Linked DNA regions of Oryctolagus cuniculus. The protein of the gene in region 1 purifies or fractionates together with the protein of each later gene. This does not show direct contact. Links are inferred from orthologs where the notes say so. Each region holds a gene or a part of one and is shown on either strand. Other genes may lie near its edges. The genes, in order: ABL1 and NCK1.

The links.
Region 2: the proteins of ABL1 (region 1) and NCK1 purify together in Homo sapiens (affinity purification with western blotting; 3 studies listed by BioGRID). This does not show direct contact. The link is inferred for Oryctolagus cuniculus from reciprocal best matches to the Homo sapiens genes ABL1 and NCK1.

Annotation. Positions count from the first base shown.
Region 1 is NC_091432.1:233,493,238-233,497,053, forward strand, and holds part of ABL1 (tyrosine-protein kinase ABL1), read left to right. Parts: intron 1-692; coding exon 693-877; intron 878-3,028; coding exon 3,029-3,181; intron 3,182-3,816. UniProt on the Homo sapiens protein: Non-receptor tyrosine-protein kinase that plays a role in many key processes linked to cell growth and survival such as cytoskeleton remodeling in response to extracellular stimuli, cell motility and adhesion, receptor endocytosis, autophagy, DNA damage response and apoptosis.
Region 2 is NC_091435.1:144,672,329-144,674,983, reverse strand, and holds part of NCK1 (SH2/SH3 adapter protein NCK1), read left to right. Parts: coding exon 1-510; intron 511-2,655. UniProt on the Homo sapiens protein: Adapter protein which associates with tyrosine-phosphorylated growth factor receptors, such as KDR and PDGFRB, or their cellular substrates. Maintains low levels of EIF2S1 phosphorylation by promoting its dephosphorylation by PP1.

The DNA.
Region 1 (3,816 bases):
TGCTGATGCCCAGGCTCCCGCGCAGCCGTCGCTGCATGCGGCTGCCTCCTCGCACTCCTGCACCCCGGTGTGCCTTGTGCATTTGTGGTTAACATCCGTGGAGCAGAGGTTAAACGGCTGCCTCCCTGGAGGCTCAGGAGGCGGGAGGAAGAGAGTTGCGAGGAGGCATTTGGGTGAGCATCAGGAAGAGAGAGGGAGGGAGGAGGCAGAATCTAGGTGGAGGCGCCCGGGCTTTATTTTACTCCGTCCTGGTCATGCCTGGGTAGGACAAGTGGAGACTGTCCTACCTACGTTCCTTGTGACGGAGGATTGGGCTGAGCGTTGGTTGCCGTGCCAGCGTGCAGTAGCGGTAACGGCGCCCTTACGTAACTCGCCGCTGCTCTCCAGGCATTGCTGGAAGCACCTGACACGTTCGTTCATCGCGCGCAGCCCCAGGGTGTAGGTGCCTTTATCATCATCCTCACCTTACAGGGTAACTAACCTGCTGCAGGTCTCAGTGCCTCCCGGGCTGCCCCTGGCGCCGTGCTGGGGCTCAGGCCATGCGCCCAGGGGCTGGCACCGCCCCCAGCCTGCAGGGTCTGAATGCCTGCAGGGGCCGACGCCGTCTGCCTCGCCAATTCTGCACCTTCGCTTGCTGGTGGTGGATTTGGGCAGCCGAATCCTGGGGGTCTCACGGTGACCTTCCTTCCCAGGGACCTTGCTGCCCGGAACTGCCTGGTAGGGGAAAACCACTTGGTGAAGGTGGCTGATTTTGGCCTGAGCAGGCTGATGACAGGGGACACCTACACGGCCCACGCCGGAGCCAAGTTTCCCATCAAGTGGACCGCGCCGGAGAGCCTGGCCTACAACAAGTTCTCCATCAAGTCCGACGTGTGGGGTAAGAGCCGCTGCCCGGCGCAGTCCACTCCCGGGGGGCTTTGCTCCGTTCTCCTCTGCCTCATGCACCAGCTCTTTCCCTTCCAGTCCCTGGTCTCCATTACTTCTCCTTCTTTCTCACTTTATTTCTCTACTTTTGATTCGTTTTGTCTATTTGAAAGGCAGAGGAAGAAAGAGAGAGAGAAAGGGCCATTTGTTCCCAGCCGGTTTCAAACCAGGGCAAGCGTAACAACCACTACACCACAGGAACCGCCTGCTTCTTTGTCATTTAAAATCCTTTCCCCTTTGTTTTCTTGTCAAGGTAGAGTGAGAGTGAGCTTTTTCTTCCTCAGTTATGCAGAATAGCTTGCTGTAACTTATTATTGGGTCATCTTCCACTGCTTTCCCAGGCCACAGCAGAGAGCTGGATCGGAAGAGGAGCAGCCGGGGCTCGAACCGCTGCCTATACGGGATGCCGGCACTGCAGGTTTTAACCCGCTGCGCCACAGTGCTGGCCCCCAACCCTCATGTTTTTAAAAGCGAATCCCAGGCCCCATGTTATTTTGTGTCTGGTGTTCGGCTCCCAGCTAGCTGGACTGTGAAGCTCGGGCTGTTTCTCACAGTTTGCACTGAGATCCAGGTGTGGTTCCCGCAGTGCTTGGCCGGTCTTTGCCGAAGCCGCCTCCAGCCACGGCTCCCTCTCCGTGTCCTTTTTCCCTTGGTTTCCTTTTATGCAGAAGCTCCGTCGCTTGTCCTTGAGTTTCCCACGTGGTGGGTTTTCTCTGCCACCGCTGCTTCTGGGGTCCCGTCGCTGGGTCGCTGAGTCGGCAGCTTCGTCACATCCGGGCCTGCCTTGGGCCTCTTCCACCAGGACTTGGGAAGGTGGCGTGCTCTGTCCTCGGCAGTGCGTCCTGTCCGCGTGTGCCGACACCCAGCGCCTAGACGCGCTGCTTGACAAGGGATGCCAGGAGGAGGTTCCCTGGATCCGTCTTTCCTCACTCACTTATTAGCAGGCTGCTCTGCAAGAAGCCCCTCCCCTTGTCTGCCCGGGCCTTGGTGCTAGTACTAGCGTAGAAGCGGCAGGGTGAGTGCCTGCTCCTCTGCCTTTGTTTACCAGTTTTTGAGATAAGCTGGTCTGTTGATGCCCCTCCGTGGTGCCCCGTGAGGTTTTGTTGTTTGTCACTGCTGATGTCATTATGAACCGGGGAGCTTTATCTGACACATAGAGAGGGGGAGACACACACCCACACACGGAGCAAGGTATATCTTCCGTCTGCGGGTCTCTCCCCAAATGCCTGGGACAGCCGGAGCTCAGCCCGGAGCCAGGAGCTGTCCCAGCCTCTTGTGTGGATGGCAAGGGCCCAAGTCGTTGGGCCGTCATCTGCTCTGTGCTGGGTGCATTAGCTGAAAGCTGGATCAGAAGCATGGAGCGTTCGGGACTGGAACCAGGCACTCCTGTGTGGGACGAGGGGAATCCCAGGAGCTGCTTAACCCGCTGTATCTCATCGTCGGCCAGCGGGAGCTTCAGGGTAACTCCTGGTCCTCTTGGAGTTGCCCTTGGAGTCTTCCATGATGTCCATGCTGTCTGGAATGGCAGGATGCACAAGGCTCACTCACACCTGAGTCCCTGCTTCTCAGCGGAGCCCCGGTTCCTTCAACAGGGGAGGAAGTGTCAAGGCCATAAGCTGGGGTTGCAAAACTTACAAAGATTCCATGAAATTTGTTTGGCAGTTTTTTGAGTTGGCAGAGGAGATAATTCTGTACGCCTAGAAATGAGTGGCCTGTACTGGGCACACAGCAAGCCGGCCACAGAGCCACTGCGGCCTGTGCTGGGTGCACAGCTAGCCGGCCACAGAGCCACGGCGGCCTGTGCTGGGCGCACAGCTAGCCGGCCACAGACCTGTGCGTAGACTGTGGCTGCCTGTTTGCCGGCCCAGGCTCCTGACACCCCACATCCCGCGAGGTGGTTGCATTGGCTGAAAGGCCCCGGGGGGCTGATGGCTTCGCCGTCTTCCCTCCCGCAGTGTTTTCCGTCCGTGTCAGGCACTCTCCTGTCTGCGCTGCCCAGGGTGCTGGTGGTTCGTGCGGGACCAGCGGGGCTGCCTCTGCGGGTGCCCCTGGCGTGTCTGCTGCAGTGGCGTGAGCCTTCCAGCCTCCTTCTCCTTCCTTTTAGCGTTTGGAGTGCTGCTTTGGGAAATCGCCACCTACGGCATGTCGCCGTACCCGGGGATCGACCTGTCCCAGGTCTATGAGCTGCTGGAGAAGGATTACCGCATGGAGCGCCCGGAAGGCTGCCCGGAGAAGGTCTACGAACTCATGCGAGCATGTGAGCCCCGGCGCCAGTCTGGGGGGCGGCGTGAGGGCCGCGCAGAGGCCGCGGGGAGCGTGCGTGTGTGTGTGTGTCTGTGTGTCTGTGTATTCAAAAGATTGATTTATTTAAAAGGCAGAGGCAGAGAGAGAGGTCTTCCATTCGCTATTTTACTCCCCAGATGGCTACAACGGCCGGAGCTGGGTTGATCCAAAGCCAGGAGCTCCATCCAGGTCTCCACGCGGGTGCAGGGGCCCAAGCACTTGGGCCATCTTCTGCTGCTTTCCCAGGTCTTAGCAGAGAGCTGGATTGGAAGTGGAGCAGCCAGGACTTGAACCCACGCCCATATAGGATGCCGGCACTGCAGGCCGTGGCTTTACCCGCTACGCCACAGCGCTGGCCCCTGGATGTATATCTTTTTCACTTTCTTTAATGCTTGTGTGTTTGTTCATACATTGCGCACAAACGCTGCCTACCCAAACCTGGGTTTCTCCTCAGCCCTGAGTGCTGTGCTCGGAGGACCACCCCTCGGGGCGGGACTGCCCCTTCACTTCCGTGCCGTGGCATCACTCGTGCTCGTGTGGGCGTGTGCGCGTGCCTGTGAGTTAGTAGCAGGTGTGGGCTTTCCATGCCTGGGTTTTCAAGTCCCCTTC
Region 2 (2,655 bases), on another chromosome or scaffold:
TGGCGGGGTAGCTACAATGGACAAATTGGGTGGTTCCCTTCAAACTATGTAACTGAAGAAGGTGACAGTCCTTTGGGTGACCATGTGGGTTCTCTATCAGAGAAATTAGCAGCAGTTGTCAATAACTTAAATACTGGGCAAGTGTTGCATGTGGTACAGGCTCTTTACCCATTCAGCTCATCCAATGATGAAGAACTTAATTTTGAGAAAGGAGATGTCATGGATGTTATTGAAAAACCTGAAAATGACCCGGAGTGGTGGAAGTGCAGGAAGATCAATGGAATGGTTGGTCTGGTGCCAAAAAACTATGTCACCATCATGCAGAATAATCCATTAACCTCGGGTTTGGAACCATCACCTCCACAATGTGATTATATTAGGCCTTCACTTACTGGGAAGTTTGCTGGCAATCCTTGGTATTATGGCAAAGTCACCAGGCATCAAGCAGAAATGGCATTAAATGAAAGAGGGCATGAAGGAGATTTCCTCATTCGTGATAGTGAATCTTCGGTAAGTTGATTTTTCAAAGGTGAATGGAAACAGAGCTCTGGGTATTAAAAAACAAAAACAAAAAACAGACTGGAGAGAAGTAAAGTATCTTTCCCTAAGGTGGTAAGCTGGGACATCAACTTAAATGTTCTGAAGCTGAAGTCAGTATTTGTTCTACTTCTGTCTATTTTTAATAAAAGATACCTATAGCAGTGTTATACCATGGAATATGTGACTTTTACTAGCTCTGTTGGCTTCACATACCTAGAATATTTTCTCTTGCTTTAAACTGAAAAATAGACGAAACTGAACATTGGCTTCTTCCTTGAGAGTAGAATAATATAGTAGATGTAATTGGGAAAATATTTCTTAAGTTGTTACTGGATGCAGTGCATAATAAAGTAATCATCACAATTCCTACAACATATAGGAGATTCCCTAAACTTAAAATTTGATATTTAAATTCCTTCATAAATTGGTTGTTTAGAAGTTGGAATACACTTATTTGTATAGCTCAAAAGCCTGTTTTACATTTCCCATGTTTGAAATGCATTTACAATAATAGGAAAATTTTATTGCAATAGCTAGTAAAACTATAAAACCATGAAAATTGAAGAACATACTTATATTGAGTATTTGGGCTACTGTCTAGGATATTAGAATTTGGTAACACTTGTTTTTCTTACAAATGGCTTCTTTCCTTGATGCTTTTCCATTTATCAAATGATGTTTGGCATTTGCTTTGTGTGAATGCAGTTGCACAAAAAATGAATGTCTAATTGTATAAAAGATTGAAAGCAAGTAAGAAGAAAATGAGAGAGAGGAAAAAGAGAGGAGTAATTAATTGAACTTACTGATGTGAAGTTCATGAAAATGAGGCCTGTAGCTAAGCCCTCAGAAGAGCTCATAGTTGGTAGGAAAGAGTGATCCATTTTCCTTTAGAGATGCCTATTCTGGCTCACTGAAACTTTGGGAGTTTGAAAGTATCAGAGAGCCTTCTGGCTTTGATGCATACTATTCAGAGTGTTAGATAAAAAGATGAGCAGTTTGAATGCAAAATACTGTGTATTTCCCTGGAGCTATTTGAACATAAAAATTAGCCAAAGTTACATTTAGCGATGTTATTTATTTATTTTTTTAAAGATTTATTATTTTACTGAAAGAATTACACAGAGAGAGAGAAGGAGAGGCAGAGTGAGAGAGAGAGAGAGAGGGGAAGTCTTCCATCCGCTGGTTCACTCCCCAGTTGGCCGCAACAGCCGGATCTGTGCTGATCCGAAGTCAGGAGCTTCTTCTGGGTCTCCTATGCAGGTGCAGGGGCCCAAAGACGTGGGCCATCTTCTACTGCTTTGCCAGGCCATAGCAGAAAGCTGGATTGGAAGAGGAGCAGCTGGGACTTGAACGTTGCTCATACAGGATGCCGGCACTGCAGGCAGCAGCTTTACCTGCAACACCAGCCCCTAGTAATGCAACTCTTAAAGCAGAAGTGTCTTGGGCATATTTTATTTGGCCTGCAAAGTGTCTTTTAAACATTGGCCCACATTTAAATACTGATATATTTATTATAAAAATCTAGACTTCAGATTTCCCTTTCAAAATTGGAAGACCTTGGGATAGATGTTTAGCCTAGCAGTTAAGACCCCTGCATCCCGCCGGCGCCACAGCTCACTAGGCTAATCCTCCACCTAGCGGTGCCTGCACACCGGGTTCTAGTTCCGGTTGGGGCGCCGGATTCTTTCCGGTTGCCCTCTTCCAGGCCAGCTCTCTGCTGTGGCCCGGGAGTGCAGAGGAGGATGGCCCAAGTGCTTGGGCCCTGCACCCCATGGGAGACCAGGAGAAGCACCTGGCTCCCCCCTTCGGATCAGCGTGGTGCGCCGGCCGCAGTGCGCCAGCCGTGGCGGCCATTGGAGGGTGAACCAACGGCAAAAGGAAGACCTTTCTCTCTGTCTGTCTCTCTCTCACTGTCCACTCTGCCTGTCCAAAAAAAAACCTGCATCCCACGATGGAGTACCGAGATTGGGTTCTCAGCTCCAGCTCCTGATTACAGCTTCTTGCTAATGCAGGCCTTGGGAGACAGTGGTGATGGCTCAAGTAATTGGTTTCCCGACCACCTGTATGAGAGACCTGGATTGAGTTCTGGCTCCCAGCAGAGTTCTGGCCCCACCC